4 linked regions of the Pelodiscus sinensis genome follow. The protein of the gene in region 4 interacts with the protein of the main gene of each other region in a biochemical or structural test. Links are inferred from orthologs where the notes say so. Each region holds a gene or a part of one and is shown on either strand. Other genes may lie near its edges.

Region 1 (7,847 bases), on a different chromosome or scaffold from region 4:
TGGACTGCAGGCGGTAAGTGGGGGTGATCACGGCCTGCAGGGGGTAAGGAGTAGGAGGAAGGACAGCAGAGAAGATCAGTGCCTGCAGGGGATGAGGGGAGAGGAGATGAGTGCCTGCAGCAGAAGAGGAGGGAGATCAGTGCCTGCAAGGTGTGAGGGGGAGAGGTCAGTGCTTGCAAGGGGGAGGGACAGGCACGGGTGGGAGGTTACTGCCTGTTGAGGTATGAATGTCTGGGTATAGGTAGAAGATCAGTGCCCACACAAGGCAAAGAAGATGGGGTATGTGTAGGGGAAAGTGGAAATCAGTGCCTACTGGGGGGCTAGAGATGGGGGGGAGCAGTGCCTGAGGTGGTGGAATGAAGGGGGGAAGGGCAGGAGGAACCAGTGCTCAGGAAGGAGGGAGGAAGGAATGGGGAAGGGGCAGTGCAAGTGGAAAGGGATGGGGACTGTGTGAAGGGAAGGGGGAGCAGTGCAGGGGGACAGAAGAATGGGAGCAGTGCTGGGGGGAGGAGTACAGGAGAGACAGGGAGGATCAGCGTGAAGGAATGGGGAAGAACAGGGCCAGGTATAGTGTAGCAGGGAGGGAAGAAATACAGGGGAGGGGAGATGATGGGGGAGAGCAGGGCCAGGAGAAGGAATGCGAAGGGTAGTGCTGGGGGGGGGTGAGATAGTATGTGCAGTAGGGGGGAAGTGATGTGGAAAGCAGTGCCAGGGGAAGGGATGCAGGGGGAGAACAGTGCAGAGGTGGGAAGGGATGCTGATGGGAGGGTGTGTGGGGAGACAGGGCCAGAGGGAACAGACAGTATGTGCATGGGAAGGATGAGGGAGGAGAGCTGGGGGAGGAGGAACGGAGATGGGGGGGAGGGCAGTGCGTGCACAAGGGGGAGGGATAAGGGAGAGCAGTGGCGGGAAGGGAGAGTGGCAGGGAGGGAGAGAAGGGATGTGGGGGGCAGTGCTAGGGAGCAGTGGGTACATAGGAGGAGAGAGAGGGGAGAGCAGGGCTAGGACAAGGGATCAGGGGAGGCAGTTCCAGGGGAGGAGCAGCAGGGGGGGCAGCATGTGCATGGGGGAGGGATGTGAGGGAAGGTAGTGCTGGAATGAAGGCTGGGGTTGAGCAGGCCCAGGAGAGGGGAGGAGGGATGGAGGAAGAAGGAATGGAGGAGGGAGAGAAGGCCTTGAGTGGAGGGAAGAGTAAGCCCAGGGTTGGGGGAAAGAATGGGGAAGGAGAGCAGGCCCAGGATGGAGGAGGGTTGAGGGGGAAGTGCTGGGGGGGGGGGAGCAGCAGCATGTGCATAGGGGAGGGACAGTGAGAGGCAATGCAGGAGGGAGGGCTGGAGGAGTCTTAAGGAAGGTGGAATACATGGCAAAGAGCAGGCCCAGGGTGAAGGAATAGAGGAGGGCAGCAAGTGCATGAGGGGAAGCATGTAGGGGAGGAATAGTGCTGGGGCAGGGAAGGTATGAGAGGGGGCAATGCCAGGGAGATAGGGAGGAGGGATGCGGGGAGGAAGTGTGGGGGGGGGTGCAGGGAGGAAGTATGGGGGGATGTGGAGAGGGACAGTAGGGATGTGGGAATGGCATGAGGATGGGGGAGGGATGCTGGGAAGAGAGAGAAGGGATGGAGGGGGTGAGGAGGCAGTGCTGGGAGGAAGAGGGGGAAGGGATGTAGGAAGGGGGAGCAATACTGGGAAGGAAAAGAGAGCAGTGCCAGGGGGGAAGGGATGGGGGGAGGGCAGTGTCGGTTTGGGGGGAGGGGAGGAGGAAAGGGGGCAGTGATGCGGAGAGGGAAGAGATGGGGGGGGAGCAGACTCAGGGGGGAAGGGATGAGGAAGGAGGGGACAGTGCTGATGTGGGGGGAAGCGTGGGAGGGGGGAAGACATGTGGGTGGAGGCAGTGGTCGGCAGGGAAAAGGGATGTGGGGAGGCAATGGAGACGAAGGGGAGATGGGATGTGAAGGATAGTGCGGGTGGGGGGGGGCGGAGAGAAGGGATGCGGGGGGGCACTCCCAAAGGGGGACAATGCGGGGGGAGAGAGAAGGGATGCGGGGGTGGCAGTGCCGGGGGGCACTCTCGGGAGGGCAGTGACGGGGAGAAAGGCTGGGGGGCAGAAGGGATGCGGGGGGCAGAGCCGGGGGGAGAAGGGATGCGGGGGGCAGGGCGTGCACGGGGCACACCTCCAGGACAGCGCTGCTCAGCTCCCTGATAGCGAGACTGGGGCCCGGGCGCGGGCCCTGCGGGGACGGGGGGATCCCTGCCAACCCGGCCCGGCCCCGGCCCCGGCCCGAGTGTCGCGCTGCGGCCGGGGCCCGGCCGGGGGGTGCGGGCTGCGGGCAGGGGGCCCCGCTCCGTACCTCTCCCTTTGTGTCTGGCGGCTGCTCCGCGGCGCGGCTGGGCCTGGCCACTCGTGTCTCTCGCTGGGAGAGAAGCGGAAGTGCTGCAACAGCAACTCTTACCCAGGCAATGGCTGCCCCGCTCCTCCCCGGCCCCTCGGCGAGCCGGGGCTGCCGGAGCAGGCTGCCCTCACCCCCAGGGGGCAGGCGGCGCGGGGGCCGCGGAGGGAGGCTCCTGCGCCTGCCGAGGCGAGTGTGTGAGCGCGGAGAGGGAGAAATAACGAGCCGCGGGGCTCCGCTCCCTGCCCCGGTCTTAGGGGGCACTGGGAGCAGCTGGGGCTGCCCGAAGGCTGAGCCGGGCGCCTGCCCATTCCCCCCCCTGGTTCGGCCCCAAAGCCGCAGCTCCCCCCGGCCTGATCCCTCCCGCCGCCGCAACTTCTCACCTGGCTCAGTCCTAGGGCAGCGGCAGCGGCAGCAGCTTCCTCCCCGTCTCTCACCTGTCCCGGCCCGCACGCAGCAGCCGCTTCTCCCCTCCCCTCGCTCAGCCTTGACTCATCCTCGGCCGCCGCAGCAGCTGCTTCCCCCTTGCCCGCGCCCCGGGTTCAGGCTTCCATTGTCCCCACGCAGCCCCCCGCGCGCGCAGCGCCACACAAAAGGAAGGGCCGCTTGTGATGTCAGCAGCTCCTGCGGAGAGACGGCAGCAGGCTGGCCAGCTACAGGAAGGAAAAGCAGGTTGGATTTGGGAATGGAACAGGATCCGCAAAGGGGGAGCCTCCCAGCTGGGGCACCGCATTAAATAAAGTTGGGCCAGATGATGCTGCATCTCCAGTGGCTTCTTCTCCCCCCTCTCTCCTTCTTCTCCCCCCTGTCTCCTTCTTCTCCCCCTGCAAAGCCTTTGCAGATGATCTTTTTGCTACCTGCACAGCCCTAAGAAAAAATAACACTGACTTCAAGAGTGATTCACTGTACTTCTCCCATGGTAAGAAGACAGCAGTCAGTCACTTTTCTATGGGCCAAGGCATAGTGCCATAGATCTAAATGGAAACGCTGCACCAGATTTATTTCTGTCCCTTCTTCCTCCCCCGTTGACTTCAGCAGGTTAATATAACCGCTGAATGTGGTTCAGTGCTTTTAGTTTCCAAATGTATATCAAGAGATGACCAGACAATAACTATGTGATATAGTGTAGTAGGCAGGAAAATGAAATCACCACTGTGCATCATAATCATTAGTATTACTTTGCATTTCTGGAGATATTTAAGAGTAGGTTAGATAAATGTCTATCAGGGATGGTCTAGACAGTATTTGGTCCTGCCATGAGGGCAGAGGACTGGACTCGATGACCTCTCAAGGTCCCTTCCAGTCCTAGTGTTCTATGATTTCTATCCTTCCTTGCAATGGAGGATCTCAAAGCAATCTACAAACAAATGATTACAACTGCACAACACACCTATCAAGTATGATGGGTATGATTATTCCCACCAATCTATGTTTTGTAAATCAAAACCCATCTGTCTAGTCTCCCAGGATTTTCTGGGATGCTCAACACTTGCAGCTCTCTTGACTTCCCATTGAGTTTGGATCATAGTATCATACTATCATAGAGCTGGAAGAGACCTCAGAAGGTCATCAAGTCCAGACTCCTGCTCTAGGCAGGACCAATCCCAACTAAATCAACCCAGCCAGGGTTTTGTCAAGCCAAGACTTAAACACCTCTAGGGATGGAGACTCCACTACTTCCCTAGGTAATCCATTCCAGTGCTTCACCACTCTCCTAGTGAAATAGTTTTTCCTAATATCCAACCTGGACCACTCCCACCACAACTTGAGACCATTGCTCCTTGTTCTGTCATCTGTCACTACTGAGAACAGCCCCTTTCTATCCTCTTTGGAACCTCCCTTCAGGAAGTTGAAGGCTGCTATCAAATCCCCCCTTACTCTTCATTTCTGCAGACTAAGCAGACCCAACTCCCTCAGCCTCTCCTCAAAGGTCATATGTTCCAGCCCCCTAATCATTTTGGTTGCCCTCTGCTGGACCCTCTCCAATGCATCCACATCCTTTTCACAGTGGGGGGCCCAAAACTGGACACAATACTCCAGATGTGGCCTCACCAGAGCCAAATAAAGAGGAATAATCACTTCTCTGGATCTGCTGGCAATGCTCCTCCTATTGCACCCTAATATGCCATTAGCCTTCTTGACTACAAGGGCACACTGTTGACTCATATCCAGCTTCTCATCCACTGTAACCCCCAGGTCCTTTTCTGCAGAACTACTACTTAGCTGGTTGGTCCCCAGCCTGTAACAATGCTTGGGATTCTTCCGTCCCAAGTGCAGGACTCTGCACTTGTCCTAATTGAACCTCATCAGATTTCTTGTGGCCCGATCCTCCAATTTGTCTAAGTCACTCTGGACCCCATCTCTGCCCTCAAGCGTCTCTACCTCTCCCTCTAGCTTCATGTCATCTTCAAAGTTGCTGAGGGTGCAATCCATCCCCTCATCCAGGTCATTAATAAAGATATTGAACAAAACTGGTCCTAGAACTGAACCTTGGGGCACTCCGCTAGAAACCGACCGCCATCGAGCCGTTGATCACTACCCGCTGGGCCTGGCCTTCTAGCCATCTTTTTATCCATCTTACTGTCATTTATCCAATCCACATTCCCTTAGCTTGCTGGCAAGAATATTGTGGGAGACCGTATCAAAAGCCTTGCTAAAGTCAAGATATATCACACCCACTGACTTTCCCATATCCACAGAGCCAGTTACCTTATCATAGAAGTTAATCAGATTGGTCAGACATGAATTGCCCTTTGTGAATCCATGCTGACTATGCCTGATCACTTTCCTCTCTTCCAAATGCCTCAAAATGGATTCTTTAAGGATCCCTTTCATGATTTTTCCAGGAACCGAGGTAAGACTGTCCGGCCTATAGTTCCCTGGATCGTCCTTCTTCCCTTTTTTGAAGATGGGCACTACATTTGCTTTTTTCCAATCATTCGGGATCTCTCCCGATCTCCACGACTTTTCAAAGATAATGGCCAAAGGCTCCCTCATTACCCTCGGATGCATTAAGTCCGGACCCATGGATTTGTGTACATTTAGCTTTTCTAAATAGTTCCTAACCTGTTCTTTATCCACCAAGGGCTGTCCATCTTCATCCCATCTTGTGTCACTTAGCGCATTAGTCCGGGAGCCGACCTTGTCCGTGAATATAGAGGCAAAGAAAGCATTGAGTACTTCAGCTTTCTCCACATCATCTGTCACTAGGTTACCTCCTTCATCCAGTAGGGACCCCACATCCTCTGATCACCTTCTTCTTGTTACCATGCCTATAGAAACCTTTTGGCTACGTCTACACTGGCACGATTTTCCGGAAATGCTTTTAACGGAAAAGTTTTCCGTTAAAAGCATTTTCGGAAAAGCATGTCTAGATTGGCAGGATGCTTTTCCGCAAAAGCACTTTTTGCGGAAAAGCGTCCGTGGCCAATCTAGACGCGCTTTTCCGCAAAAAAGCCCCAATCGCCATTTTTGCGGAAAAGTTTTTAGGAAAAAGACTTTTGCCCGAACGGGAGCAGCACAATATTTCTGCAAAAGCACTGACAATCTTACATGAGATCGTCAGTGCTTTTGCAGAAATTCAAGCGGCCAGTGTAGACAGCTGGCAAGTTTTTCCGCAAAAGCAGATGATTTTGCGGAAAAACTTGCCAGTCTAGACACAGCCTTCTTGTTATCCTTCACATCCTTGCCAGTTGCAATTCTGATTGTACTTTCGCCTTCCTGATAACCCTATTGATGTTCAGTAATTCTAAAAAATAGACTTCCAGTCTCATGTTTTAATCAAATTACCTTCTGTAACACTTCATGGCTGCATATTTAGACACTCGCCATAGCTGTCACTGAGGACTGAGTCCTGGAATTTCAGTATCAAAAGCTAAAGAGCATCCTGAAACAAAGATGTTCTCCATTGTGTATGAATTTACAATTTCCTCCAAAATGGCTCTCCATATGGAACTTTTGTTTTTGTGGATCTCAGATTCTCATCAGCAGGGCTCGACAAACCGCTGCATCTACTTGCCCGTGGCAAGTAGATTTCAGCCGGTCGCTCCGAGCGCCACATTCACTGGTGCTTCGCGCATGCGCAGTGCCGGTCTGGCACCTGCGCAGTGTGGGGCTGGCAAGTGGCTCTTGCCGGGGTTTGTCAAGCCCTGCTCATCAGAAACGTATCTCACAGGAGGGCATGTAAAACAGGATGATGCATGTGGTCACATCACTCTCTAGTCACGGCTGGCTCCGTCAGTTCCATAGTACTATCTCACAGACAAAATAACTCTTCTCTTAGCTCAAACAATAGGGTCTGTGGTATTGGTGATCTCAGGTTAAATCTTCACAAAGAGCCATTTTATGACATGTACATCTCATAATATCCCATTGCTGCTTTGTTCACTCAACTCTACTCTCAAACCCACGGAATCCTGCCTCTCTGAGACTCCAGCATAAAGAAAAGTTGAATTTTCCCTGACAGTTGTACAGTCGTACACGTTAAGATCAGAAGGGACCATCAGATCATCTAGCTTAGAGAGAATCTCACCACATCCACACCAAGCCCAACAAACAGAATCAGACAAAAGTATTATAGCCCTTAGGACATTAGGGCCAAAGTGCCACTAGTGCCCAAGGCCTCTATAATGGCATGGAATTGATTGAGATCCTAGCAAATGACCTTTATTGTACTGTACTTCATCCTCCAATGGCAGGTGAAAAAACCCCCTAAGGTTACAGCCTACATAATCTGAGGAAAATTTGTTCCTGACCTTGAACTAGTTTGTCCCTGTACATGTGAACCAGACTCATCAACTCAGCAGCTGAGAAGGAGAATTCTCAGTACTACCTCAGAGTATCAGCTGATCCCATCCATGGCCATGGCCATGGCCATAAAAAACCCCACCCGGAATATTTTGGGTGAAAATGTATTCCTTCTTTACCCCTTCAGGTGACTAGCTGAAGCCTTGAAGCATGACATTTTAGGACAGGAACCAGAAAGGACTCCAAAGCAACTCCATCAAACAATTCCACTAAAAAATGTATCTAACTTTATCTTAATACTAATTAGTCCCCCTCCCACCACTATCCATGCTTCTGATGGTTAAAAACCTTCTTTTAATTTCCAATGTAAAATTATTCATGGACAGTTTACTCTCTCCAGAGAATATGTCATGTCATACAGGAACAGTTGACCTGGAGATGGCACTAGAGGTGGGCTTGTCTTTGACAGTTATTTTAACAAGGCCTTACTTATGACCAAAATGTTAAATTAATAAATGAAGGCTTGGCTGGATAAGGAAAATCATTGACTTTGTTAAAAGTGTTTGGACCAGCTGAATCTCAGTTGCCTGTGGATGCCGATGCCACCTATGCGGCAGAGATATAATGTTTTGTAACTCATCTACGCCATGTAGCGAAGGCCATTTGGTAGAATTTAGCACTCACCATCTATACCCAATGGTTATTTATTGAGAGA
Region 2 (7,431 bases), on a different chromosome or scaffold from region 4:
TCCAAGTGCCTCAAAATGGATTCCTTAAGGATCCTTTCCATGATTTTTCCAGGGACTGAGGTAAGACTGACTGGCCTATGGTTCCCTGGATTGTCCTTCTTCCCTTTTTTGAAGATGGGCACTACAATCATCCGGGATCTCTCCTGATCTCCATGACTTTTCAAAGGTAACAGCCAAAGGCTCCTCAATGACATTTGCCAACTCCCTCTGTACCCTCGGATGCATTAAGTCCGGACCCATGGATGTGTGTATGTTTAGCTTTTCTAAATAGTTCCTAACCTGTTCTTTACCCATCAAGGGCTGTCCATCTTCATCCCATCTTGCGCCACTTAGCGCATTAGTATGGGAGCTGACCTTGTCCGTGAATACAGAGGCAAAGAAAGCATTGAGTACTTCAGCTTTCCCCACATCATCTGTCACTAGGTTACCTCCCTCATCTAGTAGGGGCCCCACACCCTCTCTGATCACCCTCTTTGTGTTAGGTTTCTACAGGCATGTTTTCTTGTTATCCTTCACATCCTTTGCCAGCCGCAATTCCAATTGTGCTTTCACCTTCCTGATACCCCCCCGGCATTCTCGAGCTATACATGTATAGCTCTCCCTGGTCATTTGTCCAAGTTTCCACTTTTTGTAAGCTCCCTTTTTGTGCTTAAGTTCACCGAGGATTTCCCCTGTAAGCCAATCTGGTCTCCTACCATGTTTGCTTCTCTTGCTACGCATCGGGATGGTTTCTTTCTGTGCCTTCAATAAGGCTTCTTTAAAATACTGCCAGCTGTCGTGGACTCCTTTCCCCTTCATCTTAGCATCCCAGGGGATTTTGCCCATCAGGTCTCTGAGGGAGTCAAAGTCTGCTTTTCTGACGTCCAAGGTGCATATGTTACTACTCTCTTTTCTTCCTTTGGTCAGGATCCTGAAATCTACCATCTCATGATCACTGCTTCCCAGGTTGTCACCCACCTCTACTTCCCCTATTAGTGAGCAAGCCAGTACTGAGCCGGGCTGCTGGGCAGCCTGCTAAAAATTATGGTGGGCGGGGGCAGGGATGTGTGTAGTCTATAGCATAACCGATAAGCAAAAGCTTATCGGTTAATCGGCTACACTATTACATCCCTAACTTCAATCAAGTGTCAACAACATCGAATTGACTGTTATCTGGTTTATCATCCATTCTTTGCCAGGAAGAAAGGTCTGAGTGGGAGCTATACCTATTGACAGCAACATCACTGGAGGTTTCTGTCCTCCAGACCTTCTGTCACCTGAATCCCAGCTAGAGATGATCTTCAAAGAGAAAACAGAACTATAAGAAATGAGGAGAGACGGTCCAAAACACTTTTCCTTTTCTATTTGCTCACAGCATCAGAAACAATTGAAGGAACACTGAACTGGAGTGGAAGGCAGGTTGGCTGAAAGGATTCTAGCCTGCAAGACTGCAAAAGCATGTGGTGAGAGACATTTTACTTTGAATTCACTTAGCCTGTTACGTTAATTAGCTGTGTTTTGCCTCTTGCATTTTGTAATAAATTCTGACTTTTATGCCTCGTGACTTGTAATCACTTAAAATCTTTATTTTTGTGGTTATTAAGCTTGTTTTATTATTTTATCTAAACCAGCATGTTTGGATATTTTGGGGGGAATCTCCACTTGAGATACAGGGTTTGTGCATATCACTTTCTATTTATGAAATGATGGACTTTATAAGAGCTTGAATTGTCCAGTGGAGTGCTGGGCTATACGAGATGTATATTTGGGGGGAGGGGGAGGAAGGGGTGGCAGAGTCTGGGACTGGAGACTTTGTTGGTGTTCTTCTGCAGTGTAATTCGTAAGTGACCATCTATAACACTTATACTGTATAGCTGGAAGCAAGCTACATTGCTGGAGGTTTTTTTATGAACAGATCAGAATGGTTGTTCTCACAGTGAAGGCAGCGTGAAAGGTTCAAAAACTGAGCTGGACACAGATAATGGGTAATGTCACATTCATTCCTATTTCATATGTTGCAGGTCAAAGTCAAAATGAAAAGACAAAAAGCAATTCAACAACGTTTCCACTCACAGACCTCAAAAAATAACCATGATGAAGAATATACCAAGAATCAGGAATGTACCAACATATCATCTGAAGGTTCAGTTGCTGAACTGTATCTACATTTGAACAGCTCAAAGCACAAATACAACTAACTACCTGATGAAGAAACAGCATCTCCACAACCTGAAGGCAGTTCCTGATGTTTGTGGGTCAAACTTTTACTACTTATTGAAGTTACAAAAGGGGCCATTGGTGCACCTCTTGCAAAACAGCTTGTGAAGAAGGAAATCTTCCCAGGCTAGTCAGTAACACCAAGGAGCCTGGTTTCCTGATCAATCAGCAAAGCTAATGCTGACAAACTAAGCGACAGGGCTGCAAAACACCCAGGCTCTGCACAGCACCAGCCTGCAGAAAGCCCGAGAGCTTCGCAGGCAGCGTTGTCACTTGTGTTACCAGGACAATAAAGTCCAACAGAAAATATGTCTCGGTCCTGTAGAAAGGGTAAAGAGTACGGACTGCTCCCCCAGCCGCACCTACCAAGGGGGGGGCCACTCTCTCCCCCCCCCCGCATCACTCCTCCCATGGGGATCACCCTCTCCCCTCTGTCCCCCTCCCCCGTGTCACTCCCCCCACGTGGGCCACTCTCTCCCCCGCGTCACTTCCCCCCACGGGGATCACCCTCTCCCCCCCCCCGCGTCACTCCCCCCACGGGGATCACCCTCTTCTCCCCCCGCGTCACTCCCCCCACGGGGATCACCCCCCCCCCGGGCGCCCTACGCAGCTGGGGGCGGGGCCTCAGGGCGCGAGGCGGACCCCGCCTCCTCTCACCCGCAGCCTCAGGGCGCCGCTGCAGCCAAACGACGGGCGGGCTCGAGGGCAACACGGGCCGGCGCGGGGCCAAACCACGAGGCGGGACTTCCGGGGGCGCCTAGCAACCAGGCAGGCTGACTCCGGGTAGCTCTGCTGAGGTGCCGATCTGCGGGGAGCGCGGGGCTGATTGGCCGAGAGGAGCCCAAGGCTCCGCCCAGCGACTTCGAATCTTAGGAGCCAGGAAGAGAGGCGGGCTGGGATTGGAGGAGTCGCCCTGGGCCCCGCCCCCACAGGGGTGGGGGGAGTGAGGGAGTTACGAGACCCGCCAGGCCAGCCCGGGCAGGCGGAGAGAGTCGAACCCAGTGCGGGGGGGGGTGTAACCCCGCTGGGGATACAGCCCCCCCAGACAGTGCACGTGCACACCGCCAGAGCTACTGGGGCACCGAGGGGCTGGGGCTCCGCCTTGTTTTTGCAGACACACACCCACACACACACACACACCAACACACACACACACACACCAACACACACACACACACACCAACACACCAACACACACACACCAACACACACACACATACACACACAGCACACCCACACATACACACACACACACACACACCAACACACACACACACACACCAACACACCAACACACACACACCAACACACACACACATACACACACAGCACACCCACACATACACACACACACACCAACACACCAACACACACACACCAACACACACACACATACACACACAGCACACCCACACACACACACATACACACACATACACCAACACACACACACACACACCCACACACACACACCCACACACACACACACACCCACACACACACACACACCAACACACACACACCAACACAGCACACACACATACACCAACACAGCACACACACATACACCAACACACACACACACACACACACACCAACACAGCACACACACATACACAAACACAGCACATACACCGACACAGCACACACACACACATACACACCAACACAGCACACACACACACACACACACACATACACAAACACAGCACATACACCGACACAGCACACACACACACAGCGCAGACACACACACACCAACACAGCACATACACCGACACAGCACACAACACACACACCAACACAGCACACGCACACACCAACACAGCACACACACACAAACACAGCACACGGACACACAAAGCACCTGCATGCGCACACACACACACACACTAACACAGCACACGCACACACAAACACAGCACACACACAAACCAACACAGCACATACACACACACAAACACAGCACACGGACACACACAGCACCTGCGTGCACACACACACACACACTAACACAGCACACGCACACACAAACACAGCACACGCACACACACAGCACCTGCGTGCATATACACACACACACTAACACAGCACACACACACACTAACACAGCACGCGCACACACACAGCACCTGCGTGCACACACACTAACACAGAACACACACACACAAACACAACACGTGTACACACACACACACTAACACAGCACACACACACTAACACCAACTTTTCATAAGAAACTGGCAGCTGCCCATTGCTTTCCTGCTGTCGAGAAACCCCAGTGATGCTTTCCCCACCCCTCTGGGAGCACTGATCATCGGTCCCTGCTTCTCGACCTGCTTACCCCACCCTGTGGGCCTCAGCAGCCACTATTGCCCCCCTGGCCCTGAGGGTGTCAGAGGAGCTACCGTTCTGCTGATGGGGCCACAAGGGGTCAGCCACTGCAGTGTGAGAACTAGTGACTGACCCTTAGCTGTGTCCGAAGGCATGGCTCTCCTAACGCAATAACTGCACCAGGGCCACTCACTCTTGTGCAACCTGTACAAGCTTTTGAAAATGTCAATTACATTTGAGTATAGAAAAATAGCATGTAAAAAAATAGTGAAAAATGTTGTGTGGGAGCTATTATGAAATGTATTATAAAATAGATCTCACAATTTTTCAGTAATTTTGCTCTGAAATTCCCCTTCCCCCAAAAGCACCAATATGACATCATAGTAGAGCAGTTAAATAACCCAAACCTGATCACTAGAGTACTTCATTGTAAGATAACCGACTTCTTCACTACTCATGCTGCCAGCCTTAGGATCCATTCAGCTCTTTAATAACTGAAGTTTGCCCTGAATGCATTAAATATCTTAAAATCCATCAAAATACATACAGCTATACCAGCTGTTATAGAGAAGAGGCTGCAGTTTCTTTTGCCTGTGGATTCTGCCCTGAAGTTCTAAGCCTGTCTAAAGGTTCCTCCCTCTGGTTGGATCAGTTACATGAAATTGTATAATCACAATCGCAGTCTTTGCCAGCAGAGCTGTAGTGACCTAAATTCTGCCTGATGACCCCATTCTTTATCTTATTGTTATATAAGGAAGCTGGCATAACGTAGAGATCCTTAGGAAGGAGCTAGGGCTGATCCCAGCAAATCTCCTGAAGATCCCCAGGAAGGAGACAACGGCTGATTCTGGGAAGGGCCAAGGATCACCAGGAAGGAGGTAAATAACATGAAACTATCTGCAAGTAAATCAGGAAATGACAGTCTTTTTTGCTGGGCCAGGCTTGTGGCCATGGGATATTTGCAGATTTTTAGGGGGAACCCTGCTCCCATCCAGTCTGCCTCTATATTCAATATAGTGATAATGATGTTACTGTGATCCTTACTGCACTGAAACAGGCTGACCCCTCCATCAGAGAGGGGACTGACACCCTCTCTGTCCCTGCCCTATCCCCCTTTGCAGTGAACCCGATATGTGCCAATCTCTATTTCATCCACCACCGAGCACTGTGGGACAGCACTACAGGCCCTAGGCCTGCTACCCCCTCATTCTTCAGCCACCCAATGCATTTTGGGAGAACCACAGACTTACCATGGGGCTCTAGTCTGACTTTTAATCCAACAGGCTGGTATCCACCTTTGGCCCTTAAAGGTTCTGGGCCAGTGTTGCTTATTGAAAGCAATCAGTACCAGGGTTGTTGTTGTTTTTTTTAATAAATCATACTAACACATTTACCCAGCATTGCTTGGGTAAAGAGGGGCTCAGGGCAGAGGTGTAGGGGTGCAGGAGTCAGGGCAGGGGGTTAGGAGGTGGTGGGTGTCAGGGCTGGGGTACAGTGTGCAGAAGGCTGTCCAATCCCCAGCCAGCAGTTCCCCGGAACTGTCTGAGTTTTGTGGTAGCATGGTGCCTGGCCAGCGGCTACCTGGGGCTGGCCAGCATCATCCTGAGCACTGCCCCTAGCTAGCCACTCTTGCACCCATGCGCCTGCCCCCCTGTGATCATTCTGCAGTATAACTATACTTGCTAGCAGATTTCTCCCTGTGTGTTTTTATGAGAAACAATTGTATTCCAGGCAAATCCCATTGTCCTAGTGCCTTGCTTTACGTTATGATAAGAGGAAGCTGCACACCAGATTTGGTGGTATTAGCTCTTATCATTTACAAGGAGTTCTTGAACAGACTCAGAAAACTGGACACACACACACTACATATGTAGTAGGTGAAAACTTTTAATTTAAGATTTAAAAATGAGAAGAAATTATCACTGGCACTAAGCTATCATTATTAGCGCTAAATACCTCCATCAAATCAACAAGTCATGCCTGAAGTTAGTTGCAACCATGGACTGGAATTATATCAACAGATTAGTACCAAAAGTAAGTTCTAAGTGGGAAACCGTGTTTATTGACTCAACAATTTAATCAAAATCAATCCAATTTATCATTTGAATCCAGTTAAATAGCTTAATAATGAAACCAGGTCATCAAAAGTCCAAACCAAAACCTCAGAACAAATTATAAAGCATGCTTCTTAGGGTTTCCCTACATAGGGAAGTTACATGAGTGTAAGACAGGGTGTGAATTTGCAGTGCGGTAATTACGCCAATAGTTTCGCATGTGGACACTTGCTCCAGTTAAGAGTGCCTTTTTCTGTTTTGCTTGTCATTTTGGCAGGGGATAAAAGCTAAACCCAAAGGCTATGTCTAGACTGGCAAGTTTTTCCGGAAAATCAGCTGTTTTTCCAGAAAAACTTGCCAGCTGTCTACACTGGCCGCTTGAATTTCCACAAAAGCACTGACTTCCTACTGTAAGAAATCAGTGCTTTTTGCGGAAATACTACGCTGCTCCCGTTCGGGCAAAAGTCCCTTTTGTGCAAAACTTTTGCGCAAAAGGGCCAGTGTAGACAGCTGAGATTTGTTTTGCGCAAAAAACCCCCAATTGTGAAAATGGCGATCGAGTCTTTTTTGTGCAAAAGCGCGTCTAGATTGGCCATGGATGCTTTCCCGCAAAAAGTGCTTTTGCGGAAAAGCATCCGTGCCAATCTAGACGCTCTTTTCCGAAAATGCTTTTAGCGGAAAACTTTTCCGTTCAAAGCATTTCCAGAAAATCATGCCAGTCTAGACGTCGCCAGTTAATCTTAAACCAGAATAAGTGTCCACCTGAGGGGCTCCATCAGTACAGTCTAACTACAGCACTTTGAATTCACACCTGACCTTATTCTGGTATCATTTACCCCAGTAGGCA
Region 3 (7,526 bases), on a different chromosome or scaffold from region 4:
GGGAGACGGGGAGCAAAGCCTCTGAGGATGCCGGCAGCGGGACAGCCGCGGCGCGTCTGGGCTGTCCGCTGCCCGCGTGCTCCTCAGCTTTGCTCCCCGTCTCCCTGGTCTGGGGAGACTTGGAGCAAAGCCGCGGAGCACACGGGCAGCGGACAGCCCAGACGCGCCGCGGCTGTCCCGCTGCCGGCGTCCTCAGAGGCTTTGCTTCCCGTCTCCCTGGTCTGCTGGTTTCCAGCAGACCAGGGAGACAGGCAGCAAACCCCGTTCGTAACTGCGGATCCGACATAAGTCGGATCCGCGTAACTCGGGGACTGCCTGTATATATTTGAAATATCCAATAAAAGATATATATAGTATGGCTTTTTTTGCCCATAAAACTGGAATTGATTTAGACAGACTAATTTAGCAACTAGATCAGTTAAATCAGTGTAACCCCAAATGGGCACCCTTAAAATGGCTAAAAAGTTAGTCAATATAAAGCACTCAAGAGTGCCCAAAAAAGGGGGCTGAATCATATTAATCAAGTATATTTAGACAATGATTTAGTTAAAAATGTACAATCTGTGTTTAGATGAGGCCTAAGCAATCACTATATCTATGTAAATCACTAAAATAAGTTTCAAATAAAATAATTAACTGGTGTACATAAAAGCATTGTATTAAAGCTGCACTTGTGTCACGTTCTGAAGATTACTAGCACTGACCGGGAGAAGCTGTTAATCATAACTAATAACCAACAGGAGCTAGAGTAGCCCACCCTGGGCAGGGGGCTGCTTCAGCAGTCCAGAGCAGTCCCCACCCTCCTCCATTTAATCAGTTAACTAATTAAAAGGGATTTTACATCCCTACTACAAATATAAACAAAAAATAGTATGATTACTCTATAACAACAAGGTTAAAGGTTGTCAATTTCAAAATTTAAATGAAATATTAATTTAATATTTAAAGGGTAATAGTCTACCTTTGCTCATTTCAGTCACATTTCCAGTTTGCTGTACTTTGAGAGAACTATGTAACTGAATTCCATTAATATAATTTTGTCCTTAAAATTCTCAATGTGGCTTGTAAACATTAAGAAAAAGGTAATAAAGTTTATAGGTTTAATTCTCTTACAAAGTTTTAGTGGAATGTTTCTTCTTTTTAATTCTCATTTTGTTATCCCAACGAGTTCATATAATTTCATTTTAAGACATATTAACTTGCATATTTTCCTGTCCTTCACTGTTTGCACTGGATGCAAACTTTCAGTGTGTTCAGCCAAGAACAGCTTCAAAGCATTATAAGTTATTTGTCTGACTTTCATTCAGTGTAACAGGAAACAATCATGTTATTTCCATCCAAACCTAATAAACCTTACTCAAATAAGGTAAGTTACTTTCATAGAACTATTCATCACATGACTTCTTAAAAGTCGGAGTTACAGATACTGTAGGAATTCAGACTAATCTTTAAACTGTACGAGTTGGGAGTTATCGAAAGGTATTTATTTTGTACTAACAAGAGGACACAGGTATATCAGATCAATGTTATGCTGCACTGTTAATTTTTTATTGTAGGATTTCACAGCTATACGTATTTGGGTAGTCTGCTTTAATATTCATGTAAGTTGATATAAAAAGAAGTGTCAGATTCAGTTAGGGCACTCAGTGGCTTGAACTAAACAAAGTGGTAAAGTAAGAATATTACTACATATTTCAGCAAGCATCAAATTAGTACTATCTATGAAGTTTGTTGGATTCACACTGCACTCTAAGAATGTAGTTACAAACTAAGAACTTGATCATTAACACACTACTTGATCATTAACACATACTTAAATATATAACTACTGAAAGATCCATACTTACAATATCTACAATATTCTATTTACATATACCCACACCCCCCAAATATCCAGAAATCAAGAGGTCTTTATTGTTCTTACATCTCCATTTAATGTCCAGTTTCAAGACTACTCTGAATTCTTGTTTACTACACTAAACGCATAGAGAAATTCATTGTAGAATTTTCTTCCTCACTACCTACAAATTGCCATCTAATTAGGAAGAAGCATCTACGAGCAAAATAATTTCAGCCCTATTTCTAAGTGTTAAAATAGAAATACATAAAGAGCAAACTTGCTGGAAGTTATTTTTTTTTTAAAGTTAAAATTCAAGCAAAACACATACTTGACAGTCACCTCAACCTGTTAATTCCTATTTGGGACAGTCATCAGAATTGGCGTAACCTCACTTCCTCAGACCGTCAGTCCTGAGTCATCAAAAGATTCACAAACCGTGACTAGCGCAGACTAGGCACCCCGACTGCGAGGCTGAAGATGGGCTCCAACAGTGGGTGAGTAGGTGGGTGTGTCACAATCTCTCCCTGCAGAAGGCGGGTGGGAGCAGGGTTTGGTGCACGCCGCGGTAAGCAGCCTGGTGCCGCATTTCCCTCGTTGCCGCTGTCACGGGCGTGCCAGAGGCACCAAGTCCGGGGCGGCCCCGGCAGGCGGATACGGGGCTCGCGGCTAACGCCGCTCCCCGGCCAGAGACGGCGCCCAGGCCGCGGCCTCACCTGTCCATTCATTCCCCGCGCCGCGGCGGCGCCCAAACCCCGCCCGGGCCTCGCCGCCACCGCAGCCGCAGGGGCCTCCGCGCCTCGCTCGGTCACGCAGCCCCGGGGGCGGGGGGCCAATGGCGGCTCCGCGGGCCAAGGCCCCGCCCGCTCCCGCGCCGCTCCCAGCCCGGCAGGGCCTGCCCGGGCTCCCGTGGTCGGCAGCGCCCGCCTCCCCGCGCCGCGCCCCGCTCACGGGAAGCTCCGCGCTCCGCGCCCCGGCACAGGGGCAGTGGGGGAGGGGTGGCGGTTACCTTGATGATCCTGCGGGGCAGCCCGGCCATCTTGTCTTATCGGGATTCAAGCGCCGCTGGGTCTCGGCTCCGCTCGACACTCGCGCACAACCGGAAGGAACCCGAGCGCTCCCTTCCGATGACGTCACGCCGCGACTTACAGCCTTCTGGGAAGCGTAGTCGCGGCTGCGGGGAGGCGCGAGAGTTGACGCTCAGGGGCCGTCGCCGTAACCAGGCGCGTGCGGTACCGCCCGGCCCCCAGACCGACCCGCCTAAAGCCCCCAGCGCTGCCTCTGGTCTCGGCCCCCGACCCCCGCCCGCAGCCGCCCCGCACCCCGCCCGCCTCACGCCCTGCCACGCCCCAGACACCTGCCCAGCGAGGCGAGGCTGCGGTCAAACGCCCGCGCGTGCTCGCCATGGCACCCGCCCTAGACGCAGCTCCACAGGGCTCGCCCTGGGGGGGCGCGCACGTGCCTCAGCGTCCCAGGTGTGGAGCCAGGGACAGGCCTGGATTAAGGTTAGTAGGCCCTAGGCCACTCATAATTATAGGCTTTCAATTGGATTCTAAATAGATATGGGAGAAATGCCTGGTGCATAGATGCCTAATATTGCCCACTTCAGTTTTTGCTCCTGAAAGTGCTGCACCTTGTGAGCAATTCATGATACTTCATGCTAAAATCGCAGCCATTTTGATGTATATTACAATGATACCTAGGATGCACCCGGCAGTTAATCATCTGATCAGGGAAGTAAGAAGATGTTGCCGTTACAATTGTAATATTTGATTTTTCAGTTTTCTTATTTTCAAGTCCATTATGAATTTTCGTAGGCCCTAAACTTTGTCGTAGGCCCTAGGCACTGTGCCTGTTGTGCCTAATGGATAATCTGGCCCTGGCCTCTCCCACCCTGCAGTCACCAGTCATGCTCCACCCTTTCCTCAAGTCCTGCCCCCTCCCTGAGCAGCGCCACAAAGAGGATTAATGAGGGAGGAGAGCTGAAACAGAATAGCCAAAGGTCCATCTAGTATCCTATCTACACTGGCATGATTTTGCGCAAATACTTTTAACAGAAAAAAATTTCCGTTAAAAGTATTTGCGCAAGAGAGTGTCTACACTGGCATGTGCTTTTGTGCAAAAGCATCCGTGCCAGTGTAGACGCTCTCTTGCGCAAGAAAGCTCCGATGGCCATTTTTGCCATCGGGCTTTCTTGCGCAAGAAATTAACGTTGCCTGTCTACACTGGCCTCTTGAGCAAGAATACTTGAGCAAAAGGGCTTATCCATGAGCGGGAGCAGCAGAGTATTTGCGCAAGAAGCATTGATTTTGTACATTACAACGTCGGTGTTCTTGTGCAAATACTCACGGCCAGTGTAGATAGGCGGCAAGATCTTGAAATACGTTTTACATTAAAGTTGATGGTGCAGCTACACTACAAAACTTATGTTCACATGGCTACAGCAGCAGAGCCCCCTTCTTTAGATGCAGCTTATATGCACAGAGTGTTTCTGTTGGTATAACACCACCTCCTCAAACAAAGCCCACTGAGGGTGCGTCTACACAGTTGTGCTAGCTCAAAATAAGCTACACAATTTGAGCTACGCAAATTGTGTAGCTTAGTTCCAGCTTATTTTGAGATGTAGTGCTGTTTATACAGGGCCAAATTCCGAAATAGACTGCTATTATGACAAGTCCCTTAAGCCTCGTGGAACGAGGTTTACCAGGACGTCAGAATATCAAGCCCGTTATTTTGACTACATTTCTAAATAACAAGCATGCTGTTAAGACATGGAAAACGCTATTTCAGAATAACTGCTGTATCATGAAAAAGTGCCATTGTCTAGACATACCCTTACATTCCTAGGCTGGTCGGTCATGCCTATTAGTCAGAGTAGTAGCAGTCCGAGATCCAGGGTAAGGTAAAAGGCAGGTGTCAGATTTAGACTTTAAGGCTACATCTACACTGGCCCCTTTTCCGGAAGGGGCATGTAAATTTCACTAGTCGTCGTAGGGAAATCCGCGGGGGATTTAAATATCCCCCGCGGCATTTAAATAAAAATGTCCGCCGCTTTTTTCCGGCTTTTAAAAAAGCCGGAAAAGAGCGTCTAGACTGGCCCCGATCCTCCGGAAAAAGTGCCCTTTTCCGGAGGCTCTTATTCTTACTTTGAAGTAAGAATAAGAGCCTCCGGAAAAGGGCACTTTTTCCGGAGGATCGGGGCCAGTCTAGACGCTCTTTTCCGGCTTTTTTAAAAGCCGGAAAAAAGCGGCGGACATTTTTATTTAAATGCCGCGGGGGATATTTAAATCCCCCGCGGATTTCCCTACGACGACTAGTGAAATTTACATGCCCCTTCCGGAAAAGGGGCCAGTGTAGACGTAGCCTAAGGGTAGAAGGGACCATCATGATCATCTGGTCTGACCCCCTGCTGGCTGCAGTTCACAGAACTTCCTCCATCCTGACTCTGTTACAGTCTACAATCACTGGCTAAATTACTCAAATCATGATTAAAAGACTACAAGTTATGGAGAATACACCATTTACACTAATTGAAACCAGCACGTGACCCAGGCCCCATTCTGCAGAGGAAGGCAACATTGCCCCACTTTCCACTCCCTCTGTAAATCTGACACATGAGAAAATTCCTTTCCTACACCAACTATGTGGTCCCTCCATCAACCCCAGAATATGTGACTTCACCAGAGCACACTGTTTTGAAGCATCCACATGCATTTGAGCCAGATGGCTACACAAAATCTGTTTTATGCAGGAAGAAAACCTATAGTTTGGCCGAGACTAAAGTTAGAGCCGAGAGGCCAGGATAATGAGAGCTAGGGACCAAGATGTCAATCAAACCGGTCATTTTCCTGGCTTTGTGACCATGAGCAGGGGCGGCCCATGAGCCTAGGCAAACTAGGCAGTTGCCTAGAGCACCGCTGGTCCGTGCGCCCGATGATGACGTTACAGTCATTGACGGCTGTGCAGGTGGGGGTGCTGATCGCAGTGTAGACATACCCTGACACACAATTGGGGCCAATAGTGCATTTGTAAGCTGTTGATCCCCACTTTTTGTTCAGAGCCTAAGCATATGTTCTGTGCTTAGCTCCTATGTAAGATCAGGGCTGGAAGGCCTTTTCCTGCTTAGCTGTAAGGAGCAGGTACTTGGTAGTAGGCTCTGAAGAGGCTCTCGAGAATTAATCGTTTAAATAATTATCAATGAACTGGAAGTCAGTATAAAATCACTGCTGGTAACGTGTGGGTGACAAAATACTACCAGAGAGATAAATAAGACTGAGATCAGGGCAGTGACATAGGGGCTATGTCTAGACTGCAGGCTTCTTTCAGAAGAAGCTTTTCCAGAAGGCTGTGTCTCCATTGGCACCCCTTTCCGGAAAAGGGATGCTAATGAGACACTTCGGAATTATAAATGTCGCGGGGGATTTAAATATCCCCCACGGCATTTGCATGAACATGGCTGCCGCTTTTTTCCGATTCGGGGTTTTGCCGGAGAAAAGCACCAGTCTAGACGGGATTTTGCAGAAAATAAGCCCTTTTCCGGAAGATCCCTTATTCCTACTTTCAAGGCCAATGGCTGGAAGGTGAAACCAAATACATTCATATTAGAAATAAGGCACAAATATTAGGCTTCACCATGGGAACAAACTACTGAAGTAAGTGATGGATTCTCCATATCTAGATGTCTTCTAATGAAGACTGCGTGCCTTTCTGGTATGTGCTTGGATCAAAACTTAGCAACTGGGATATATAGGATGGGTGGGATATTCAGGGGTCAGATTTGATGCTCTCATGGTTCCTTCTGGCCTTTTAAAGTCAACTAATCAATGAAAAACTGTATGTGCCACAGAGAGCAGCCTCTGTTGCTTTACTATGCTGTCGGCTTGATCCCCAGACTCAGCTGTGGGATGATTCAGGGGAAGCCATTCAAACATCCAAGAGGCTGGCCAGGATCAGGACACCAGCCTTATAGGGGACAGGTGGGAGCAGCAGTGATATCACAAAGGCCTGTTGCAGGACCTCAGCCTATTGGGGAAAACTGGTGGGGAGATGGTGACCTCATAGAGAGACCCTGACATCAGCCAGGCAGGACAGAGGTGCAAGGCAGGACAACCTCAGACACACCCATGGCTCTGAAGCAGCAAGGCTCCTTTTTAAAGTCTCTCTTTGGGGACAGAGAGAATTAGGATTAATTGACATAAGCATGAAGAGGAACCTCATCAGAGTTTTCTCCTTTCCTACTACTGATTTTGTAATCCCTGTATAGAAGGTAAGATCCTCAGACAGGTCTGAAACCTGTTCTGTCTGATCCACCTGATACCAGCTGAATTCTAGGTGTAGCAGTCACTCAGTTAAGATAATTTGATTTCCTACCAAGGACTCTGTCCCAGAGAATCACTGAGGACATTGGGGTTTATCCTTTTAGGTTTCCCTTTTCCTCTTTCCTTCTCTCTCTCCTTCTCTTGCTTCTTTTCCCCCTATTCCTTTCTTCCCTCCACCAAGGAGGTGACTGCCTGTCCTAGGGAGGAGAGGTTGCAGTCACTGTGGGAGGCCCGCATAAAGAGGTGGGGCTGGAATTGGTGTGAGACTGATCCCCTCCAGAGGTGTCCTGGGCCATCCTTCAGGACATCTGCAGAGACCCCTCTGCTTCTTACCTTTCAGGGTACGTCTAGACTGCAACGTTTTTGCAGAA
Region 4 (7,709 bases):
GTCCCAAAGCGTCCCTTCCCCTGCCAGCCCCACAGCGCCTCCTTCGCTGTCAGCCCCCCACAACTCTGCCACCTCCTTCCTCAGGCTGTCTGCCCCACATTAGCCAGCTGCTCCTCCCCCCCCCCCCCCCCCAGCCAGCTTGCCCCCTCCCCTCCCCACCCTACTGGGCACAGCACAGAAGTGGCCACCAGAGGGAGGATGTGAGCTAAAGAAACCAGCCAGCGAACCTCCCAAAACCCTGGCGAGTGGGCTGGGAGCCGGGGCGAGTGGCTGGGAGCCGGGGCGCCTGGGTTCTCCCCCCGGCTCCGGGAGGGGAGCATGGCCTGGTGGGCAGAGCAGGGGATTAGCCTGGCCCCGGTGGCAGCGCTGGAGGGGGGCCCGGGGCTGGGGGGCAGCTGACCTTGAGGTTGCGGTGCACGATGTGCAGGCCGTGCAGGTAGGCCAGGGCCTCCAGCACCTGCCGGACGAGGCTGCTGGCGTCTCGCTCCGAGTAGCAGCCCAGGTCCAGGATCCAGTCGAAGACGTCCCCGCCCGTCGCCCTGCCGGGGCAGCGCCGCACTGGCTTAGCCTGGGGGAGCCCGGAGACCCCCCGTTCCCAGCCACGGAGCCTGCTCCCCCCCGCCCAGGATGGCCCCTCGGACCACTCCAGGGTCCCCACGGCCTGTACCCCCTTTGCTCCCTCTGCTGCAAGGGCAGGATCGACCCCCCCTTCCCAAACCCTGGCGCCCCCCAGCCACGGCCCCAGGCTCCCCTCCCCCCCCAGCCACGGCCCCAGGGTCCCCTCCCCCCCAGCCCTGCGGTGCCCCCCCTACTCACAGCTCCTGGATGATGTAAAATTCCTTGCGCGTCTCAAAGGTGTCGATGAGCTGCAGGATGTTGGGGTGACTCACCCTGGGGGGAGGGAAGGGAAAGTCAAGCCCACGGTACCGCTTCCCTCAGAGCCGGTGCCACCCCACCCCCAAGCCGGGACACCCCCCCCTCCAGCCTGCCCCACGTTGCTGCAGGGACCCCCCCCCCCCCCGCGGGGACCCACCCTCCCCCCGCTCAGCACGGCCAACGGCAGCAGGCTCATGCTCACGTGACAATTCTAGCAAGCGCAAGGACGCTGGGGCCTGCCTCAGTTTCCCTCCTCCATGCACCAAAGGGGAGAGACTGGCTGGAGGCACTCGCAAAGAAGCAGGCACCCCCGGCAGGGCCAGGGAGCTCAGGTGGACACACCAGGGGCCAACAGAAAGACACAGCAGGGCCAGAAATATGCACCCTCAAGAGGATTTTGTGAGGTCAGGCCTGCCTCAGTTTCCCCCTGGTACGTTGCCTTGCTGCCAGGGGGGCTCAGGAGGAGGAAAGCGAGGTGCCGAAGGCGCTCAGGGCCCTCGCGTCCGTGGGCACCTACATTTTCAGGATGAGGATCTCGTTCCGGGCCGCCTGGCGAACCTTCCTGCCGTCCCGCTTCCGGAACCGCTTGCAGACGACGAGCCGGTCGCTCCGGCGCTCGCGGGCCAGGCAGAGCTCGCAAAACTCCTTCCTGGGGGCGGAGGGGGGAGATCGTACAGAGCCCCCCCTCCCATAGCCCCGCCCCCCAACCCCCAGCACCACCCGTTCTCACAGTCATCCTAACTGCAACCACCCTTCCCAGCCTGCCGCGTGCCTCAGTTTCCCCCTGCTGGCTGCTGTGCTCCTGGATGATGTAAAATTCCTTGCGCGTCTCAAAGGTGTCGATGAGCTGCAGGATGTTGGGGTGACTCACCCTGGGGGGAGGAATGGGGAGTCAAGCTGCCTGGCCCAATGGGAATCTGCCACGCCCAGGACAGAAGATCAGGCCACAGATGGGGGTGCTGGGGGAGCCAGTCCTGGGGAAACTGGACAGGCTGGGCGGACTGGGACAGCATTCCTCTCCAGGCATCGCGGCGCCTGGGCCAGGCCTAGGGGGTCCCAGCGAGCACCCAGCCGCCCAAGTGCCAACCCGCTGGGCCAGCCACGTGCCCCTCCCCACCGGGCCACGCCAAGGCCTGCTCCGGCCCTGGGTCCAGGTTCCTGCCTTGTCCCCCCAGGCTCCCGGGAAAAGTGAGGGAGGGCGGCCCCTTTGCTTTCAGGTGGCTCCCCTGGAGCCTGGTAAAACGATCCACCTCCCCCCTCAGCCTCTCTCCCCTGCTTGGGAAACTGAGGCAGAGAACGACCGATTGCCCCTGCGGCTGGGGCAGCGGGGGGGGAGGGGCCCCCAAACACTCACACGCTCAGCAGCTCCCGATCTCGTACTTGTCCGTGATGTCGCCCACGCTGCTGTAGCTCTTCTCCTCCCGCAGCCGGAGGCAGCCCCACGGCATCCTGGGGAGACACAGCCAGACCCCTGCTGAGCCCTTCCTTCCCCCTGCCGCCCAGCCCCCCTGCTCCGCCAGCCAGCCCCACGGCATCCTGGGGAGGACACAGCCAGACCCCCTGCTGAGCCCTTCCTTCCCCTGCCGCCCAGCCCCCCTGCTCCGCCAGCCAGCCCCACGGCATCCTGGGGAGACACAGCCAGACCCCCTGCTGAGCCCTTCCTTCCCTGCCGCCCAGCCCCCCTGCTCCGCCAGCCAGCCCCACGGCATCCTGGGGAGACACAGCCAGACCCCCTGCTGAGCCCTTCCTTCCCCTGCCGCCCAGCCCCCCTGCTCCGCAGCCAGCCCCACGGCATCCTGGGGAGACACAGCCAGACCCCCTGCTGAGCCCTTCCTTCCCCTGCCGCCCAGCCCCCTGCTCCGCCAGCCCAGCCCCACGGCATCCTGGGGGAGACACAGCCAGACCCTCTGCTGGGCCCTTCCTTCCCCTGCCACCCAGCCCCCCTGCTCCGCCAGCCAGCCCCACGGCATCCTGGGGAGACACAGCCAGACCCTCTGCTGAGCCCTTCCTTCCCCTGCCACTCAGCCCCCCTGCTCCGCCAGCCAGCCCCTCTATGCTGGGGCTGGCAGTGCCCGGGCCCTGAACCCCCCTTACAGGATCTGGCTGGGGGATGTCCTTCATGGCCCCCTTAGATCGGGGCTAACCCAGGAGTCCTGGCTCCCAGCCCGGGCATGAAACCAATGGTCAGCAGCTGCCCCCTGGGGTCTGATACCCCGGCAGGCGGGGGGAGCCCAGGGCCGGGCTGGGGGGCTGCGGGTGGGGAGGGAGGGGCACCAGCATGCGGGGGGAGCCTAGGACGGGCTCGGGGGCTGCGGGTGGGGATCAAGGGGCACCGGCGGGCGGGGGGAGCCCAGGGCCGGGCTGGGGGGCTGCAGGTGGGGAGGGAGGGGCACCAGCATGCGGGGGGAGCCTAGGACAGGCTGGGGGGCTGCGGGTGGGGAGCGAGGGGCACCGGCGGGCGGGGGGAGCCCAGGGCCGGGCTGGGGGGCTGCGGGTGGGGAGCGAGGGGCACCGGCGGGCGGGGGGAGCCCAGGGCCGGGCTGGGGGGCTGCGGGTGGGGGAGCGAGGGGCACCGGCGGGCGGGGGGAGCCCAGGGGCCGGGCTGGGGGCTGCGGGTGGGGAGCGAGGGGCACCGGCGGGCGGGGGAGCCAGGGCCGGGCTGGGGGGCTGCGGGTGGGGAGCGAGGGGCACCGGCAGGGCGGGGAGCCCAGGGCCGGGCTGGGGGCTGCGGGTGGGGAGCGAGGGGCACCGGCGGGCGGGCGGAGCCCAGGGCCGGGCTGGGGGGCTGCGGGTGGGGAGCGAGGGGCACCGGCGGGCGGGGGGAGCCCAGGGCCGGGCTGGGGGGCTGCGGGTGGGGAGCGAGGGGCACCGGCGGGCGGGGGGAGCCCAGGGCCGGGCTGGGGGGCTGCGGGTGGGGAGCGAGGGGCACCGGCGGGCGGGGAGCCTAGGGCCGGGCTGGGGGGCTGCGGGTGGGGAGCGAGGGGCACCGGCGGGCGGGGGGAGCCCAGGGCCGGGCTGGGGGGCTGCGGGTGGGGAGCGAGGGGCACCGGCGGGCGGGGGGAGCCCAGGGCCGGGCTGGGGGGCTGCGGGTGGGGAGCGAGGGGCACCGGCGGGCGGGGGGAGCCCAGGGCCGGGCTGGGGGGCTGCGGGTGGGGAGCGAGGGGCACCGGCAGGGCGGGGAGCCTAGGGACGGGCTGGGGGGCTGCGGGTGGGGAGCGAGGGGCACCGGCGGGCGGGGGGAGCCCAGGGCCGGGCTGGGGGGCTGCGGTGGGGAGCGAGGGGCACCGGCGGCCGGGGAGCCTAGGGCCGGGCTGGGGGGCTGCGGGTGGGGAGCGAGGGGCACCGGCGGGCGGGGGGAGCCCAGGGCCGGGCTGGGGGGCTGCAGGTGGGGAGCGAGGGGCACCGGCGGGCGGGGGGAGCCCAGGGCCGGGCTGGGGGGCTGCGGGTGGGGAGCGAGGGGCACCGGCGGGCGGGGGGAGCCCAGGGCCGGGCTGGGGGGCTGCGGGTGGGGAGTGAGGGGCACCGGCAGGGCGGGGAGCCCAGGGCCGGGCTGGGAGGACCCCGCCTGCCCCCCGCCAAGCGCCGATTGGTGACAACTGGACAGATGGACCCAGAACCCTCCTATCGCCCCGGTAACCCCAAGAACCCTGGCTGTTGCCATGGCAACCTGGCTACAGCCTCTTGAAGGCAACAGGAGCCGGAACCTGGTGTAACCTGTGGGGAGGGATAACGGGGGGGGGGGGGGGGCATGGGAGGGAACAGCCAACAACCAACAACTGCAACACGCAACCCAGACAGGTACACAGCACCCCTCCACACACATACACCCAGCATCCCCCCTCCTGCACCCCCCACAACCTCACCCCCCGACACCCCCCACAACCTCACGCCCACAGAACTGCACACAAACCCCACAATCACCTGACACTTCCTGCAACACCCCCGTCCCTCAACACAACCCACAAACCTGCACAACCATGCACATACACTCCACAACCCCCCATGCCCCACACCACTGCACCCCCCACAACACACACACTACAACTCCCCCCACGCTCCCCGATACCCACCTACTATAACACTGTGACACCTCCGCCCCCCACACCATGAAACCCCCATACCTAACCCCACTGCACACACACCCCACAACTACACACTGCGACACTTCCCCACAAACACACATACACACAGTGGCACACACCACACAACTTCCCCACACTCCGCAACCATATACCTACTGTGACATACGCCCCACAACTACACACACAGCATAACCACACACACACCCATGACACTCCCACAACCACATCACAAACACACAAACACTCACACACTGACAAATACCCCACAACCACACATACCCACAACTGCACATATCTGAAAACTGCACTATAACAAATACCTCACAACCCCACACGCTTCAACATTCCACACACAACCCAGACATATACACCATACACATCCCAGAACTGCACATAAACTGACACACTCCACAATTACACACAGTTCACAACTGCACAACCACACACACACTGCAACACCCCACAATCTCCCCACCCTGACACATGACCCACAGCCCCCCCCGCACACTCCACAACCACAAACCCCAACCACACACACACACTGCACCCCACATCCCACAACCACACATACACTCCACAACCTCACATCCATAGACCCCACAATTCCTCCAAACTGGGACAGAACTCCCACAACCCTACACACCCACTGTGACACACTCCACAAATGTACACCCACTGCACCACACAGCCCACAACTGCATGCACACTATAACATATGCACCACAACCATGCACACATGTGCACCGCACAATTGCTTGCACACAGACACACACCACAACTGCAAACACACCACACAATCATGCACATCACAATTACATATGGACTGCAACACACCACAACCTCACACACCACAACACTCACATACTAAACAATTGCATGCATACACTGCAACACTCACACCCCACAACCACACACTGTGAAATCCCCATCCATATGCACACAACCCGCCATCATAGACTCACTTTGACACACACCCCACAACTGCACACACACCTTGATGCATACATTACTGCACACACACACTGTGATTGACACCACAACCCTGCATACAAACACTGCAACATACCTACAACACCAAGACAACTGTATGCTCACGCTGTGACACACACTACCACACTGTGACGCATGCCCCACAGTCAGGAGCACACAGTGCAACAGATACAACACAGCCGCATTCACGCACTGTAATACACAAAAGACCCCAGCCTCGCAGACACACACGGAACATGGAAACAAACACACGGCAACCACACAAACGCAACAAGGAACAGACACACAATCCAGCTGGGCACGAAGACACCACACAGCCCAAGTGCAAGGCCACACACAACTCAGCGTTGTAGCCAGACAACAGATGTGAGACCACCGCAGCCAGCAGCACACCCCACAGCACGGGGCCCAGCCCCGCCAGCAGGGGACACACACCCTGGGGAGGGGTTGAGAACTGACAATGGCAGGGAGCACAATGGGAGCCCCCCAGAATGCCCCCTGCCACACCCCCAAGCACAGCGCCCCCTAGTGCCACCCTTCGGCGGGGCCAACCTTCAGCTACTTTTAACTTTGCCAAACTTCACCTGCCCCAGACTGCCCCACACAACAGCCCACCCCAAATGTGCCCACAGCCCTGCTCCTTTGGGGGGCGAGGAGAGAGCCCAGGCGTCTGGGCTCTTAGCCCCCCCCCAGCTCTAACCACTGGCCCCCATTCCCCTGGAAGGCAGGGAACGAACCCAGGCATGCAGGACCACAGTTCCCCTGCTCCAACCACTGGCCCTCACTCCCCTGGGAGGCAGGGAAGGAAGCCAGGCGTCCGGGCTCGTAGCCCCCCCCCCCCCAGCTCTAACCACTGGCCCCCACTCCCCTGGAAGGCAGGGAGGGAAGCCAGGCATGCAGGACCACAGCTCCCCTGCTCCAACCACTGGCCCTCACTCCCCTGGGAGACCGGGAGGGAAGCCAGGCGTGGGGTCTCCCAGCCCCCCTGCTCTAACCACTGGCCCTCACTCCCCTGGGAGACCGGGAGGGAAGCCAGGCGTGGGGTCTCCCAGCCCCCCTGCTCTAACCACTGGCCCTCACTCCCCTGGGAGACCGGGAGGGAAGCCAGGCGTGGGGTCTCCCAGCCCCCCTGATCCAACCACTGGCCCTCACTCCCCGGGAGGCAGGGAGCGAACCCGGGCGTCCGCCCCCCCTGGCCCCGCCCCGCCCCGCCCCGGCTTACCTGGGTCCGGTCACCGCGCCCCGCGGGCGCAGGGGCCCATGGCCGGAGCGCGGGGCGCTGCGCCTGCCTCCCCCGAGCCGCCGGGGAGCGAGTCCAGCGCAGCCCGGAGCCGCGCGGGGCGGAGCGCTCGGCGGAGCGGAGAGAACTAGGTCGGGGGCAGCGGGGCGGGAGCGGAGAGAGTCGGGGCGGGGGGGAGACGGGGAGCCCAGGGCCGGGCTGGCAGGGACCGCGGGGGGAACCGAGGGGCCCGGCAGGGCTGTGTTATAGGGGGGCAGTGGGTCAGGAGGGGCCCGGCAGGGCTGGTTATGGGGGGGGGGCAGTGGGTCAGGAGGGGCCCAGCAGGGCTGGTTATGGGGGGGGGGGCAGTGGGTCAGGAGGAGCCCAGCAGGGCTGGTTATGGGGGGGGGGCAGTGGGTCAGGAGGGGCCCAGCAGGGCTGGTTATGGGGGGGCAGTGGGTCAGGAGGAGCCCGGCAGGGCTGTGTTATAGGGGGGCAGTGGGTCAGGAGGGGCCCGGCAGGGCTGGTTATGGGGGGGGCAG

What was found.
Region 1: of the proteins of UBA1 (region 4) and ubiquitin-conjugating enzyme E2 E1, one has a biochemical effect on the other in vitro, tested with the Homo sapiens proteins (9 studies listed by BioGRID, with this or other methods). The link is inferred for Pelodiscus sinensis from reciprocal best matches to the Homo sapiens genes UBA1 and UBE2E1.
Region 2: of the proteins of UBA1 (region 4) and UBE2T, one has a biochemical effect on the other in vitro, tested with the Homo sapiens proteins (4 studies listed by BioGRID, with this or other methods). The link is inferred for Pelodiscus sinensis from reciprocal best matches to the Homo sapiens genes UBA1 and UBE2T.
Region 3: of the proteins of UBA1 (region 4) and UBE2N, one has a biochemical effect on the other in vitro, tested with the Homo sapiens proteins (10 studies listed by BioGRID, with this or other methods). The link is inferred for Pelodiscus sinensis from reciprocal best matches to the Homo sapiens genes UBA1 and UBE2N.

The regions. Positions count from the first base shown.
Region 1 is NC_134712.1:189,268,468-189,276,314, forward strand, and holds the start of ubiquitin-conjugating enzyme E2 E1, read right to left. Parts: upstream 3,002-7,847; 5' UTR 2,770-3,001; intron 2,581-2,769; exon of another isoform or gene 2,348-2,580; intron 1-2,347. UniProt on the Homo sapiens protein: Accepts ubiquitin from the E1 complex and catalyzes its covalent attachment to other proteins. Catalyzes the covalent attachment of ISG15 to other proteins. Mediates the selective degradation of short-lived and abnormal proteins.
Region 2 is NC_134737.1:14,427,868-14,435,298, forward strand, and holds the start of UBE2T (ubiquitin-conjugating enzyme E2 T), read right to left. Parts: upstream 3,012-7,431; 5' UTR 2,854-3,011; intron 2,506-2,853; exon of another isoform or gene 2,182-2,505; intron 1,279-2,181; exon of another isoform or gene 1,206-1,278; intron 1-1,205. UniProt on the Homo sapiens protein: Accepts ubiquitin from the E1 complex and catalyzes its covalent attachment to other proteins. Catalyzes monoubiquitination. Involved in mitomycin-C (MMC)-induced DNA repair.
Region 3 is NC_134711.1:79,917,242-79,924,767, forward strand, and holds the start of UBE2N (ubiquitin-conjugating enzyme E2 N), read right to left. Parts: upstream 3,005-7,526; 5' UTR 2,877-3,004; coding exon 2,847-2,876; intron 2,581-2,846; exon of another isoform or gene 2,566-2,580; coding exon of another isoform or gene 2,554-2,565; intron 2,335-2,553; exon of another isoform or gene 2,317-2,334; intron 1-2,316. UniProt on the Homo sapiens protein: The UBE2V1-UBE2N and UBE2V2-UBE2N heterodimers catalyze the synthesis of non-canonical 'Lys-63'-linked polyubiquitin chains. This type of polyubiquitination does not lead to protein degradation by the proteasome.
Region 4 is NW_027465846.1:72,462-80,170, reverse strand, and holds the start of UBA1 (ubiquitin-like modifier-activating enzyme 1), read right to left. Parts: upstream 3,013-7,709; 5' UTR 2,998-3,012; coding exon 2,971-2,997; intron 2,326-2,970; coding exon 2,231-2,325; intron 1,526-2,230; coding exon 1,394-1,525; intron 892-1,393; coding exon 817-891; intron 540-816; coding exon 401-539; intron 1-400. UniProt on the Homo sapiens protein: Catalyzes the first step in ubiquitin conjugation to mark cellular proteins for degradation through the ubiquitin-proteasome system.